3 linked regions of the Danio rerio genome follow. The protein of the gene in region 1 purifies or fractionates together with the protein of each later gene. This does not show direct contact. Links are inferred from orthologs where the notes say so. Each region holds a gene or a part of one and is shown in the gene's direction. Other genes may lie near its edges. The genes, in order: prpf40a, snrnp70 and ncbp3.

Region 1 (4,980 bases):
CGCAGGTTGCTGAGGTCAGCAGTGATGTCGCTGTGAACTCCACTGAGGAAACGCCCAGCGTGGAGACCCAGCCTAGGTGATGAATGCACATATATTTGATACCAAGAAATGAACTTCACAAAGGATCATTATTCTGAATCATTCCATATTAGGCTAAAATGATTGTTTATTTAAATGAGGAAGATGTTATTTTCCTTATTTGTGACACTGTTTCTGAATACAATTAAAAGGGATGGTTTTTCTCACGCTCGTATGTTTTCAAACATATTTTTTCTGTTGAAATCACAAGAAGATATTTTGAAGAAAGCTGGAAAGTTGGAAAAACAAGTGCTATGAAAATCAATAGCTGCGTTTCCACTGTCATGCCTAAAGTGAGCAAGCCAGGGCCAGTTGCGTTTCCATCCAAAAATGCGAATAAACTTTATGCGCAACACTGGATTATCGCATAAAAGTTGTGCGAATGAAGCATCGTTTCCATCCAACGAGTCAAAGCGAACAAAATCGTCACTTCCTGATTAACCAAATATCAACAGTAAAAACTGCTTGAAATAATGCAAAAACAACCAATTTACACTTTTTAGTGAAATATAGGTGTTCTAATAGTGTTTTTAGCAGTGTGGGACACATACGACTGTCAACAGCTCAAAAAATGTGTTTTGGTGTTTCGTGACCCTTTAATGTAGTCGAACATCTTTCACTTAATCTAATCATATCCCACTGGATGAAATGCTTGAATATTTGATGCTACAAATTGACTCACTAAGTCACATGACGCTTTTTGAAATGTTTTGTGGCATAAAAGACCAAATGCTAATTTCCATTTGAAAAGATAATTGTGTTGAGGGTATTCATTCATGGGTTCATTTCTATTGCAGCAATGACGTTTCAAAGGAGGAGAGACCTGAGCTGGTGAAGAAAGTTTACAAGTGGAATACAAAAGAGGAGGCGAAGCAGGCCTTTAAAGAACTCCTGAAAGAAAAGGTATTTTTTTTCCTTCTCTCCCCTGTGAAGTGAGGAGGGAGGTGTTGATATTCCGGCTGGGTCTTTCTAAATTTAGTGTGTTTTAATTTGGCACACAAAGTGCTCCTGTGAGAGCCACGGCTGTTTAATTGCTGTGAGTGTGATTAGACTGAAGTGAGTGAAACAGAAGACTGTGGAATCGCACGCTTCACAGACCCCTCACAGCCTTCCAGAAAGACACGCTCATTACGGATAACGAACTTTCTGATTCATGATGTCAACATGGAAATTTACCTCTGCGAGCCTTTTTATCACACTTTTTTCTGTTTTCATTCTTCTGCTTTTCTCTCCTCTCTGTGGATCTACATTTATGTTTTGTAATAAGCTTTTAAATATCAACAATAGCTATTTATTAATGCTATTAGACATCTCACCTTTCATTTCAATACATGCAGCCTAGAGCTGCACAATTAATCGTTAAAAGATCGCGATCTCGATTCGACCCCCTAGACTATCTTAATCCAGTATTTCTACGATTCTGTCAATCATATTTTCAAGTTCAGGAGAGAAGAAAAGGCGGCTGCACGAGTCTTTTCACTGTTTCACACACGTTGCTCAGTGACATTGACACCTCCAAATGATGTTGAATGAGTCACATACTGAATTTATAAGGTATAATTCACCTAAAAATGTAATTTTTGTCTTAATATAATGATGCTTTCGCAATCAGGAAATTACACGTGACGTGTGCTGCTGACCGTGAGCTGTTATCACAAAGAGGGCGCACACTCTACTTAATGATAGACGCGCGCTCTACTTAATGATAGACGCGCGCGTCTACTTTAGTGAACAGAACCTGCATATGTTGCGAGTAACGGGTAATACACTTGCAAATAATATTCAGTTTTTGGCACAGAGTGATCGGTTGGGAGCCGCGCGCGAAGTATGAACAAGCACTTAGCAGTCAGAATGAAACTGAAAGTGTGCACTTCATTTAAATGATCATATCGCATTTAAGAGTTATGATTACGACAAGCATTTGATATGTTTTTTTCTTTCATAGCGAACCCACAGTTGTGCATGAAAATAAAGGTTTACAATGTCAGTATAACTACTCTAGCCTATATATTGTTGAATATAATCTGATAATGGCAAATGTCTGATTTTACCAGTGAATAAATTTGTCTAATGTGACAGATTGCAAGCATATATCTCAAACATAATAATTCAACATCAGAATTATTATAAGTAGAATAGAATTATTTATAGAAACCAGTAGACCTACACATAATATTATTATCGATGTTGTGCCATATGTTTGTTTTTACCATACCTTTATTTTACATCTACAGAATCGTGAGAAAATCATGATCTTTATTTTAAGCAAAAAAAAAATCGTGATTCTCATTTTAGCCAGAATCGTGCAGCTCTAATGCAGCCATGAACATAATCAAGACGCTTAATTGTTCTTTATGAAATCTAAATGATTTATTAGCATAAACAGCCCTGAGTGAGCCTATTCTGCTCTGGGAGTGGGAGTGTTGAACTGGAACTTGAAATGTTTGAAGTGGCCTTTGTTATTAAAGTCGAGTTGACGTCAACGCATTTTGCAACATGCCACAATTTGCAGTTGATTTGCAGGAAACATGTGTTTACATGCTGTTTGACAGCACACACTGCAAAACAATGCAACAGTCAAAAAGGCCAAAGATAAATCTTCATTCATTCTGGACCACCCCTTTACCATGTAAATCATTCGCGCTTGACGCTTCATCCTCATCTGGTGTGAACGCAGCATTAGAGTGAAACTGATTTTCGTTCAAACTAATTGATGCAAACTACACATGGTTAATGGACAATTTATTTATCGCCCAGCCATGATAAAAATGCACTTTATTCTTCCCAATCAAAATATTTCTTCCAACCCTGTGTTGTGTTTTTTGTAACTTTTCTTGTTTTTCCCTCTTTGTGGCCTACAGGGCGTTTCTTCCAATGCATCATGGGAGCAGGCAATGAAGCTGATAATTAATGACCCTCGTTACAGGTATCCAAATACTGCACAGCATTATTGGCATTTATTAGCGTTTACATCCTGCGCCGTTAAACAAATTTGTGCGATTCTTCACTGACGTCCCTTTCTCTGTGTGTGTGCAGTGCTCTGCCAAAGCTCAGTGAGAAGAAACAGGCGTTCAATGCTTATAAAGTCCAGACAGAGAAAGAGGAAAAGGAAGAAGCCAGAATAAAATACAAGGAGTCTAAAGAGACTTTCCAACGCTTCCTGGAGAACCACGAGAAGATGACGTCAACCACACGATACAAGTGAGTGTATATACATTATATACATGTAACTTTATATACAACTGTCTGAATAATGGACACTGTAAGATTTGGTAATGTTAAAGTCTCTTGTCACCACATTTAATCCAAATACAAAAAAAAAAAAAGAAAGACATTAAGACATTAACTTGCCATTACTATATATAAAAATTAAAGAGCCCCTGTTATGTTTTTTTTTTTTTTGTTTGTTTTTTAAATGACCTTCTATGTAGTGTGTAAAACAGCTCTGAGTGTTGTGAAATATCCAGCTAAGGCTCAAATCTGAATGTGCACAGTGTTTAAAACTATTGATTCATCTATAAAAGAGTTGACTCATAGTGCTTTAAATTAATCGTCTTGATAACGAGTCTTTAGGCGTTTTGACTGAACTTAAGCCCAGCCAATTTGTTGCGCTCGCAAACACGGGAAAATTTAACCCCCTGGCCCACAAACACTGCAGCAGATCCTGGTTGAATCAAGTCATGAAGACGCTGTGCTCAGCTTGATATTATTGGAAGTATGAGAGGAAAGTTAGTGTTATTTTCTATACACAAAGATGAAACTGTGAAGAGTCAGTGATTGGAAGTTTATTTTTGCAAAAATACCTCAGCATCATAGCCCGAGCTGTGTGCTGTGTTCCCGTCATTTTTCTGACCAGTGCTACAGCAATCTACACCCTTACAAAGGGGTATTCAACAGCCGTTTGTTAAAGGAAGGATCAGAAAAGACTATTGATGTGTGGGACTTTGGGCATTGGAGCTTGACAGGAACTTTACAGTACACAGTTCATAGATCAGTTTCGATTAAAAGCGATTAAAATGGCTGCCTCCTTGTTTTCTCTAGCTTGCAAATTATGTATTTAATTGTGTTTTGTTACTTGTAACTGCGCGTGCTGTATCAGGTTAACTCTTTATATTCTCATATCGCGTCTAATGCCACATTGAAAACGTGCCACGTGCCTCTTTGTTTACTGATTTAAATGCGTTTGTGAGCTCGCGTTCCATTGCCGTTTGTCATTGCTATGGCCATCATCAGCTGTTCCTACACATGTGAAGCGGTCAATTTTCAAATAGTTTAGCTTTGGGCATTGTGTTGATTATTGCTGAATATGTGTCACTGTTTTTACTTAGCATTATGCTAGTGTTCAACTGCACTGCTTTAATGCACTTTTACATCGGGCTCGCACACATACCTGCCAACATTTGTCCCTGAAAATCCGGGAGACCGGGGGGGTTAGGTTTGGCGGTTAAGTGTCTGAATAACACTGAGATCAGTGTACTGTGGTGTTAGTAACTACTATGAAGCGTGTTTCGGGCGGCCGCTGCGATCGGATCTGGGATGATTGAAATTACGGGAGTTTTCCAGGAGAAATAACAAAATAGGAGGGTGGCGGAAGATAGGTCTGAAATATGGAAGACTCCTGGGAAAAACAGGACTGTTGGCAGGTATGCTCACACACATACTATGCACTTTGACTACTTCAATATTGTTGATAAGCCGTGGTGGCATTTCTCTAAACGATGTTGACCAATCGCAAGAGACTGTCATCGGTCCAATCAGCGCAGATTAGGTTTGCTCTAAGGAGATAAATAGGTAAAAATAGGGATATTTAGGGATAATTAGGTAAAAATAAATGCATAGTATAAGACAATGAAAGTATTTTTTGACCTTGTATGCATATCAGCCTGTTGTTGGAGTCCATTA
Region 2 (5,418 bases), on another chromosome or scaffold:
CAGGCTACGTTTCGTGGGGTTTTTCATCAAGGACTTCCATCCTTGGCCAGGTGTTATGGTAAGATAGCAACTCCAGGTAATGTGGTATAACTTGGATAATGACTAATTACTAAGGGCCTAGATATTTAAGGTCTTAGACTTATTTCAGATCAGCAGAAGGAGAAAGCTTATTGGCCATACTGAAGTATGTCAGAAGTCTGTAACTTTAAAAGTGGTGCTTCTAGCTTCTTTGTATTATAAATAATGCAATTGCTAGAAGTAAAGCTTTGCTAAATGTTTTTTTCCCGTGTGGTGCGGTGTGGAGTGGTGTGGCGTGAGTGTGAATGGTGCTTTTAATGCTCAAATTCAGTTTGAATGTGAATGAATGTTTTGAAGACATTTGAGGATGAGAAGTTTGCTTTTTAATGCAAGATGTGTTCACCAAGTGCCTTTTTTAAAGATGCTATTATTAGTGATTTAATGACAACAAAAATGTCAGTGTGGATCACTCAAAGATATTATAGAAATTAAAATGACTTAAGTGATCCGAAGCTGTTCAGAACAGAGCTTGCTGATTTTTGGGATTTCTCCTGCACTGCATTAGAGCTGCCTCAGTTATAATTTGTATAGTAGTCATTTAAAATTATTAACAGAATTTTTTTCCCAATGTGTGCACTCTGGAAGATCTTAAAAACAATATGCATCTATTCATTAAACGTAGGTTACTTTTTATTTATTTACTTATTTATTTATAATTATGGGTTAAAGTGAATAGAAGCATCTAATCATCAAGGTAATGGTGTTGAAGGTAATCACTGAGGTAGAGGAAATGTATAAAATGGATGGCAGCATTGTCAGTTTATCATTCCTGGTGTCTTATCCATTTGGAGGTAAGCGTGTGACTTCTGATAGATTAATGTTTTGAATGGAGTTCATCCCAAATTCAAGGTATGTAGTAGCAAATACTGTTCTGTGTCTTCATGGTTCTCATTGTCTGTGTCTTTTTTTCCCTCTGTGCTCCCCTTTATTCCCTTCCTCTCAATCTCCACTTTTCTATTGCTCATCTATCAACTCTTCTAGCTGCTTATAAGCATGCGGATGGCAAAAAGATCGATGGTCGTAGAGTGCTTGTTGATGTTGAAAGAGGACGAACGGTAAAAGGATGGCGCCCCCGGCGACTTGGTAAGCATTTCTATTTTCCCCCCACTCTTGTCACATGTTTGTTTCTAGGCCTGGAGGTCCAGTTTGAAGTATTGAAAACATTTGATTCAGTTTTTCTAAAATGTCCCAAGACAAGAATGGATGTTGTTCAATAGTTTAGGACGACTTTGGTCCTAAACTATTGAAAAATGGGTTTTTAACGCCTTTAAATGTTGGCTTCTGTAGTTTGGTTAGGAATGGCTTTAGTATGCCTCAAAGAGCTTTCTTTGAGGTTTTTAGTTTCAAGTGAATCATTCTCTACCAAAAGCAAGAATGACCGCTAATCTTGTAGCAAATAGGTTTGATAAATCAAGGCAGGCAAAATCTGGCTCAAGGTCTACTGTCCTGCAGAGTTCAGCTCCATCTTTGATCTTTTGAACAATATTATTGCATGGGTATTATCAGTGGGCTTCGAGGACCTTGCCTATCCCAAGCATGGCCTTTGGGTCCCAAAACTTTCTACTTGAACCAAATTTCTTTTCTTCACTCTCCAGGTGGGGGTCTTGGTGGCACAAGGCGAGGAGGCGCAGATGTCAACATCAAGCACTCTGGCAGAGACGACACATCTCGTTATGATGACCGACCAATTGGAAGGTACGCTGTGTGAGAGGCGGTTAGAATTTTAGTTGGTGCTTTTTCATCTTCTGAACTTACGCGGCCTTACCTCTGTCTTATTTTGCAGTGATCGCGATCGGGATCGTGGTGAACGCCGTGAACGCAGTCGGGAACGTGATCGAGACAAGGAACGTGGAGAACGCAGACGTTCTCGGTCCAGAGAGAGACGCAGGCACACTAGGTCTCATGAGCGTGAGAGGGCCGCTGCAGGGGATGAGGCTGGGGGCAGCAGCCGACGACGAGAGAGGGAAAGAGAACGAGGTGGTGCTGGAGCTGGAGAAAGCAGAGAGAGGAGTAGAGACCGGGATCGAGATAGAGACCGCAAGAGAAGGAGCAGGAGCAGGGATAGGAAGAGAGACAGGGAAAGAGGAAAAGGTGCAGAAGGAGGGGAGGAAGGCATGGGCGGGCTAGTTGATGGCATGATGCCTGAAGGGGGAGATAGGGGCATAGAGGACCCCTTGGGTGGTGAACCAGGGCGAGGTGAGGAGGGAGGACCTGAAGGAGAGGAAAGGGGGAGGGATCGAGACAAAGACAGGGAAAGAGATCGTGATAGGAAGCGCAGCCATCGAGATAAAGATAGAGAAAGGGATCGGGACAGAAGGCGGGACAGGGATAGAGATCGTGACCATAAGCGAGACCGTGGAGATCGGGACCGTGGGGAGCGAAGGGAAGATCGACACATTACCTCCTCCGGAGATCATGAGGGTTTGGGTAATGGAGGTGAAGAAGGTGAAGAGCCAGTGCCACCGCAATCAGAAGAAGGTTCACAGGATGGGATGAGGATGATGATGATGGATCAGGATTCCATGCAGTCGGGAGAGGGCTATGCCTCCAATGAAAATGGGTACAGGATGGAGGCCCAGGGTGATGAGTACTAAAAGTGCCATCGTTGTGTGAATGATTGTAGGTTATCTAGATGTAATGTTGATTTGATCCACAAATATCTTCAACCATTATTTAATGCCTCCACCCTTTGCTTGCACTGTCCACAGCGTGTGAGTATTATACTGTACTAATAACAGCTGTCACTGAGAGAGCTTAGTGTCTCCCTGGTAAGAAGCGTCCTATTGTTAAAATAAACATTATGTAGCTAAACTGTGAGCTTTTTTATGTTTTTAGCTCTGGTAAACCTATTTCTGGGGCTTGGACTACAGTAAATAATTAGCTTAATGATGCATTTGAATTCCCTGTCTAACATTATTTTGATATCAAATGACCATAACTGGGAGGGGATTTCTTGACTGAAGCACTGTATTATAATACAGTGTAGTTTCAGTCAAAGATAAGTATTTGTTTGTTGGAGTTATTGGGGTTGTTTTAGTACTGTTATGTCCATTTTCATAGATGTTTGCGGAGTACAATAGTAACGTTTCATGGGTTAGTACATTTATCTGTAACATTCTTTTTGTATTGGTCTTCCCTTTAATTTCTCTGCTACTTTATTTTCATCATGTACATTTTGTTTCATATTTGGTCCTGTACATGGATCGTTTACAAATCGTACAGTTGCCCCTTATTTTACAGCAGGAACAAAGGCAGAAAATATGACACCTGCTTTTAAATGGGAATGTCTGCCATGGTCTCACAGAAATTGCTCTTAATTTTATGTATAGGTTTTTTCAGTTTGTATCTGGTCGTATTTGTTCTGCTTTAAATTCTTGAATAAATACTTTTTTATTGCCGAAGTAGTGTTTTGGTTATTTATTTAAATCTTACGGTGTTAAACGAGCTTGTGGGTTGCAAAACGACTTGAACTCGCGCCTGTGACGTGTGGTCTTGCGTCATCCAGTAAGCTGCCGCTCTGTACGAGCGCTCAGACCCGCGCATCTCGCCATCAGAGCTGGATCGTCTGCGCCTTCAATATTGTTTTTACATACTTAAAGCTCATCTCAAATTTTGTTTTGAAATATTAATTTGGTATAACGTCGCTGAAAGCGGTTCAGTCCTCCACTGCAGCAGTCTTCATGATGTCATCGTATTATCATACGGGGAAAGAGGTGGACATGGCGGCGATGACAGAACCGCTGTGCTTGGAAAGAGGTAATTTACTCCGTTCTCATTGTTGTGTGCAAGCCACGGAGAGTGGCGTTGTGCAAATATTAAAGCTGATAGCGTTGCTAACGCACTCGCTGGTTCTTGTGTTTGTTAAACAAGCAGCAGCAGTGACCACTGAGAGGCGCACAGTCTCCATAATCTGAATGAATGGATGTTTGCCCCCCTCACCCCACAGTAGGGTGTGCTAGTGTTTGTGTAAGGCTTAGAATTCATTGAATAATAATAAAAAGACAAACAAAACAAGGCTATGTGGGTGTTTAAGACAGAATGCTATTTTTATATACACGGGCTTATTTTGTATCACTGGTGGATGATTTGGACTGAAAGCTTAATAGATACAGCAGGTTATTGGGTGTTTCTGATTTTTTAAGGCACTTGTAAAACACTGATAGTTGGCTTTGCATTCCTGATAAACTTAAAATATTTGACAGTATTGGACAGAAAATTTGTTCTATCAAAACATTTTAACTGTCGAGATTGTGTTATAAATATTTTGCTTAAATATAAAGAAATCCAAATGTTTTTTTTTGTTTTTTTTTCGGGAAACCGTTTGTATTTTGTACAATGATGTACAGAAAATGCACACTGAACTTTACAATAATTTGAAAAAATTTTTTACTCCATAACCCTCAAGTGGTTAAACTTTTATGAGTTTCTTTGACTTTTGTTGAACCCAAAGGTAGTATTTTGAGGAATGTTGGAAACGCATAACATTTGACTTTGGGTGAACTATCCCTATAAGACTGGTATTAATCAGGAGTCGCCACATTAGTATAAACTGCCAACTTATACAGCATATGTTCTACGCAGCAGATGCCCTTTCAGCTGCAACCCATCACTGCGAAACACCCATACACCCATTCACACACAGACTAGTCAAGTCAGCTTACCCAATTCACCTATAGCGCATGTCTTTGGTCTGTCTGGGAAGCCACAGCACCCGGAGAACACCCACGCCATCACAGGGAAAACATGCAAACTCCACAGAGAAAAGCCAACTGACCAAGCATAGGCTTTAACCAGCGACCTTCTTGCTGTGAGGTGACAGAGCTACTCACTGTGTGTCCCCGAACTTTATAATAATTTAAACAAATCTAGAATAATATCTTCCTTTCTGTTTGTGCAAAAATAATGGTTTAATTTACAGTTATTTATTTTATTGGGAATGAAAGTAACCATTTATTTTTTTCACATTATTTGGAAAATTAAAGTTGGATAAGCTTTCTATGTGTATAATATACTTTTATTTGTTTCGTTTGCTGCAGACACAAACATGTCTTTGATCTATATATTTCTATAATATTGACTTCTCCTGCAGATGTCTGCAGAGTGATTGAATTGTTGGACAGACTGCAAAGAAGCGGTCAGCTTCCTCCTCCCAAACTCCAGGCTCTCCAGAGAGTCCTTCAGAGCAAATTCTGTGCTGCCATCAGAGAGGTAAAATCTTTCTTCTGTCCTTCAAACGTAAGGATGCTTGACTCTAGTAATAACTCATCCTTGTGCTTCTAATTAGAGCGTCGCTCAATTGTGAAAAATGTAATAATTCCTTCCTTTTTCTTGTATTGATTT
Region 3 (5,807 bases), on another chromosome or scaffold:
GGTTTACCACGATTTGGAAAAGTCAAGGTTTTAAAACCATTAACGTTTTCTGTTATACCATTGCTAAGGTACAGTTAGGTCCATAAATATTTGGACATCAACACAATTCTAACATTTTTGGCACCATACACCAACACAATGGATTTGAAATTAAAAGAAGATGTGCTTTAACTGCAGACTGTCAGCTTTAAGTTGAGGGTATTTACATCCAAATCAGGTGAATGATGTAGGAATTATAACAGTTTGCATATTTGCCTCCCACTTGTAAAGGGACCAAAAGTAATTGGAGAGAATAATAATTCCAAATAAAAATTAATTTTAAATACTTGGTTGCAAATTATTTGCATGAAGTCTGGAACGTATAGACATCACCATACGCTGGGTTTCATTGTTTTTTTTTTCCCCAGGCATTTAAAAAGAACTTATTGTAGAGTAATAATCACAATACCTTGATACCATGACTACATGATATTTTTGTTCAAGGTTATCATACCGTCAGAAACATATACCGGCCCATGCCTAGTACAGTGAGGACTTTCATGTCGCTGCATAAGCAGGCGTTGTAAATTACAAAAATTATTGATTTTAAAATTAAATATGCTTTAAAATGTCCTTAAACCTGCTTGTCATGGAAAAAGTGGAAACCATAATGAAAAATTGGGCCAGGAAAATAGTATACAGGCTTTGAATTGTTATCAGTTTTCATCATGAGCAAATGTGGAAGAGACTCACCTGTTTTTTGTTTTTTTCCTCTCCACAGATGTGAGACAGAGATTAGGCAAGAGACCACACTCCCCAGAGAGGCGTCGCTCTGTGTCTCCTGTGATCTCCAGAAAGACGGCGTCTCGGAGAGAGCCTTTGAGCGACGTACGCAGCAGACTCGGTGTAGCTAAACATGACAATCGCAGTCTCTTCTCTGAACCCCCCAAAGACAAGAAAACAGGTACACCTCAATTCAGCACTCCTCTCAGTTCTCTTCATATTTGCTCTCCAATACTAATATAACATTGGAGTAATGAAGACAAAAAAAAACATTTTAGTAAATTGGTTTAATTCCAAAGGCCTCAATAATTATGGTATTTTTACTGATTACATGTTCTCATAAATTTCAAATGAGATTTCTCATCAGTGTTGGGAAGATTGTATACATTTAGCATTTTTGTGGTTCTTGTGTAAATAAAAATTTTGTTAAGTTTGTAATTTTGGAAATGTGGTAGCATGGTAAAAACATGGTAACAGAAAAACATTTAAATTGTGATGTGAAAATGGTTGCAAGAGTACATATTTCACTCATTTTGAAAGAGCAGCTGGGGGTAATAAGACATACATTTCAAAATAAGAGTCCTTTGGTATTCTCGGATTGTTTATTAAAGAATAAAACCCCCTTTTTTAAATGTATCTATTTTAATAAAAGATTATTAGGCTGAACCGAAATTAGAATCAGAATCAATAACATTCTAATGATATCCAACCCTATTTAATAATTTTTGAGCAAGATGGTCCATTTTAAAAAGGGCTTTGTATGGACAAATGTTAATAAAATTTCCTAAGAGTGGTTCTGAATAAACTTACTAAATAAAATAACTTATGTATGTGTGGAGTTCATGGATCACTTTATGTGATCAATTTTGGGATAAACATCTTAACACTAATAAACTGGGGATTTAAAAAAAAATTAGTTTGTTTGTTGAAAGTTAGGACTTAAGTTATCAAGTGTTTGTTTATGACCAGTTACTGAAAAATAGTAACTAGTTACAGTTACTTGTTACTTTATTCAAAAAGTATTTACTTTATTGATTACTTACACCAAAAAAATAAATGCATTACTCTTAATGGTAATTTTTGAGATACTTTTCCAAAGAACATTTGTAATGCTTCCATTAATGCCCTCATAACGTCACTGCAGTTCTGCATAGAGAATACACTGTTGATCAGCTTTACAATTTTAATTAATCTGCATTCCTACAACTAAAACACAAGACAAACTTAAATAAAAAGTAATTTTTAAACACTGATTTATTGAAGTCAGACCAGCAGCACAAAAATAAAATATCACAAGATTATAAACCAGCTGAAGCATATATTTCAAAACAAAAAAGCAAAGACTAAAGTTACATCCGCATCATAAATGTTTGTATTTAACCCTTAAACGTTCCTTCAAAGCTTGAGTATGAAAATAGCGACAATATACAACAGGCACAACAACCTTAATAACGAAATAATAAATAAAAGTAATCTGAATTATCATTCAGAATCAATTTGGTGAAAGTACTATTATAGACGTCCATAAATGTTATGCATTTTAAACAAAACAATAACATAACAGCTGCTCAAAAATGAAATCTATCGGCAATTTTTAAACTAACCACAAATAAAATGTAGTATGTCAAAGCAAAATCTGCTGTTGTGTAACTGCTATAAAAATGTGTAAAACAATTTAAAAAATCACAGAATTGTTTCTGAGCAATACAACGTTATACATTTTAATAACACGTTCTGAAATGTAACCGAACTGTGTCTCTGTCTCTAATAATCAATTTTGTAATACAGATACCACCTGTGCTTATTTATTTGTAACAACAAACAGAAGTATTAGTAATAAGTATTATTAATAGTAACGGTAATAGTCTCAGTCTCTTGTGCACACAGTCAGCCTACCTCGCTTGCATTCGGTCTATCTCGCGTATACACTTTGCCTCTCGCGTGCAGCTGGTATCTCTGCTTTGTCTTTACTTTTGTAAAGTCTGGTGTCTCGTACACGATGCGTCTTCTTTGCAGTGTTGGTTAGCATCCACCAATGTGTCGTCACTGTAAACAGAAAGATGTAGGCTAGAGTGCAGCCAAAATTAATTAATTCACGATTCATTAATTAATTAATTGAGTCACGGACAAACGCATTGTATTTTAACGATAACAGAGTTACTATATTTAAAAAGTAATGCGTTACTGCATTAGTTACTGTCAGAAGTAATGCCGTTACAGTAACACATTGCTAGTAAAGCCTGGTTTATACTTCTACGTCAAGTGACCGGCGTAACCGACGGCGCATGCAACGCGCGTAGCTGTGCATTTATACTTCTGCGCTCTGTCTCTGTTATTCTGCATTAACACTTCCAAAACGCTAGTTGGCAGTGAGTCGTTAATATTCCTAAGTGTCGAGTTTCTTCGCTGGTGTTTTGTTTTTTCTGAATGCTTCCTGAATGTACAAGTGGCTGAAACTCGCTTATTTTGAGGCAGGAAGCGGCGGACGTGCAACAATTTTAACTATGAGGTAAACACAAAAAAAAACCTTCCACCCAGAGCTCCTTTACGGGACTCCACACTTGTAAACAATCGCTCTATCGGGCTCGCATCGATCACGCGGCTCTCTGTCCCGCCTAGGCTCATCAGCGCTACCAAGCCGACCAATCACAGAGCTTGCGCTACGCGTTGTTGCAACGTGTAGTTAAATTTTTTGAGTAGGGCTATTCGTCGTTAAGTAGGCTGCGCCATAACATACGCGTGGGCTTGACGCAGAAGTATAAATCAGCCTTAACATGTTATTGCTCAACACTCATTATGACTCATTTACAAACCATAACATTTGTATCTTAAGGTGGTTTGTGGAGCCGCCTCGGCCCGTCTCACAAGGACAGCGGCAGCGGAGACGAAGACAAGCCTTCATCACGAGCATCTTCCTCCAGAGGAATAAGACGAAGAAAGGATGAAGATTCTGACGGAGTGGAGGACGAGGATGAAGAGGACGACTCTCATCTCCAGAAGATGTGGGGTGCAATGATCAAGCAGAAAGAGCAGCAGTCCAACAAGATGAAGAAAAGCAGACTGGACAACCTTCCGTCGCTGCAGATCGAGATCAGTCGAGACAGCAGCAACGGCTCCGACAGCGACTCCTGACTCACTCACTGAGAGTTGGAGGGCATCTATAGACTGGGCCAAGAGACCCTGATATCCAAACTTAAACATTCCCAAAATCCCAACTCTCATCAGTCTAGAAACGTCACACTTTTCCTCCAGAAACCAAGGTGCAGGTTAGGGTTTTGTTTTGACTTCTCAAAGAAAAGGCAGAGGATGAAGCTGTCATGTTTTTTTTTTTTCCTTCAAAAGAAAATAAATTATATTTTGACATACAATCAGAGCCCATTTCAAATACACAGTGAAGCATTTCTCATGAATTCAAGCAATGTGATCCGATTGCCTTTTAGCAATACTTTTTTTTTTTAATCCAGTCATGACTCATGTTTTATCATTATCACTGTGGATTTGATGATGTGAAGAAAATAATGGTGTGTTTTTTTACAAGCATTATAATATCCACTCACACATACTGGACCTGGATGGATCAGTGCTTTATCTTACACAGTCCCGAAAAAGAATAGCACATAATGTAGCCAATGTAATAATGCTCCCTCAAATGAATGGTTCACATTCCCTAAATACATGTGGTCAGTGAAACATACAAGAGCAGCATTGTATGTTGAATAAAAGTTGTTGTTTTTTTTTATATCAGATTGGGTCTAGAAATTTGTATTTCCACCATATGACATCTTTATTTAAAATAACACAAACATTTTGTTAATTGTTACTGAAAAAAAAAATAATAGAAATGATCTGAAATACTTAGCGCAAAAATGTTCTCATCATTTTTTTAAATGATTTCAAAACCTTTGTGTATATACGATCATCAACGTTTGAAGTGGATCAAAAAAGTTTTTCAAAGTTGTCCTTAGACACGAATGCCTATTGTTCATTAGTTTTAGGACAACTTTGATGAAAGATTTTGATCCACTTCAAATGTTGACTACACTATACAGAAGTCAACATTTGAAGATGATCAAAACAGTTTTTAAAAATTATCCTAAGACAAGAATGTGACTATTTTCAATTTCACAAGGTTGTTTTTACAGCATCGCTGTTGTAATGTAATTGCAATACAGTCAGTTAGCATTCATTTAGTTGTTCAAGTGTAAATCGAGATGAAAGACCGTTGTAATCACTAGTGCTGTCAGCAACAGGCTAGTGCAGAAATTCCATTGAAAATACTGGGGTAAAATAATTTGTCATTTTAAAGACATGGAAAGTGGATTTTAATGCAGTGCCTCTTGTACGATCTGAGACCCACTTTAATTTGTATATCTAATAGGCAATGAAGAGCACTAATTTTTAAAGAAATCAGATCTTAAACTTCACAATTTTGTAATGGAAAGACAGTTCACCAGAAACCCTTATGGGCTCCCTGGCTGAAAATGTAAAGTCTGTGTGCATATAGCCCATTGTGTTTGTAACAAGATGTTTGAGAAGCTGACGACAGTCTTGGTAATTTGGTTACCAACATTAAATAATTGAAGGCAATCATAATGGAGACACTACTGCAATTAGTAACAATAGGATTTAATGCCAGCTATGGCCATGTTTATTTGGTTTGAATGCGATTCTGTTTAGTTATTTACATTGATTGTTTTCGTTTGTACAAGCCAAAAATCACCAAAAGCAGGCATAACAACTTTTTTGCAGTTTAAGGTTGTTTTTGGGCATATCAATCACACATCTGATGCTAAATTTAAAAATGTGCATTAAAATAGGATTATGGAAAAACTACATTGGGTACTCCTTTCTAACATTCTTCATAATATATATTTTTCGTGTTTAACAAAAGAAAAACAGGTTGAATGAAAAAAAATCATTTTGGGGCGAACGATCCCTTTTAAAAACACCACGAGGACTTTGATTTTGAAATGTAGATTCCGCGTGACCGGATGTTTCCACGAATCATTCACATCCAGTCGGAAAACTTAGACATTTTAACCAAA

What was found.
Region 2: the proteins of prpf40a (region 1) and snrnp70 fractionate together in Homo sapiens (co-fractionation; 3 studies listed by BioGRID, with this or other methods). This does not show direct contact. The link is inferred for Danio rerio from reciprocal best matches to the Homo sapiens genes PRPF40A and SNRNP70.
Region 3: the proteins of prpf40a (region 1) and ncbp3 purify together in Homo sapiens (affinity purification with mass spectrometry; 3 studies listed by BioGRID and IntAct, counting the BioPlex papers as one, with this or other methods). This does not show direct contact. The link is inferred for Danio rerio from reciprocal best matches to the Homo sapiens genes PRPF40A and NCBP3.

What each region holds. Positions count from the first base shown.
Region 1 is NC_133184.1:4,702,232-4,707,211, forward strand, and holds part of prpf40a (pre-mRNA-processing factor 40 homolog A), read left to right. Parts: coding exon 1-76; intron 77-875; coding exon 876-981; intron 982-2,939; coding exon 2,940-3,004; intron 3,005-3,114; coding exon 3,115-3,279; intron 3,280-4,980.
Region 2 is NC_133178.1:30,721,153-30,726,570, forward strand, and holds the end of snrnp70 (U1 small nuclear ribonucleoprotein 70 kDa), read left to right. Parts: exon of another isoform or gene 1-1,059; coding exon 1,060-1,161; intron 1,162-1,673; coding exon 1,674-1,773; intron 1,774-1,861; coding exon 1,862-2,672; 3' UTR 2,673-3,479; downstream 3,480-5,418. Other genes in the region: lin7b (protein lin-7 homolog B), read left to right, coding at 3,798-3,834, 5,168-5,286. UniProt on the Homo sapiens protein: Component of the spliceosomal U1 snRNP, which is essential for recognition of the pre-mRNA 5' splice-site and the subsequent assembly of the spliceosome. SNRNP70 binds to the loop I region of U1-snRNA.
Region 3 is NC_133196.1:33,658,296-33,664,102, reverse strand, and holds the end of ncbp3 (nuclear cap-binding protein subunit 3), read left to right. Parts: intron 1-760; coding exon 761-943; intron 944-3,595; coding exon 3,596-3,894; 3' UTR 3,895-4,499; downstream 4,500-5,807. UniProt on the Homo sapiens protein: Associates with NCBP1/CBP80 to form an alternative cap-binding complex (CBC) which plays a key role in mRNA export. NCBP3 serves as adapter protein linking the capped RNAs (m7GpppG-capped RNA) to NCBP1/CBP80.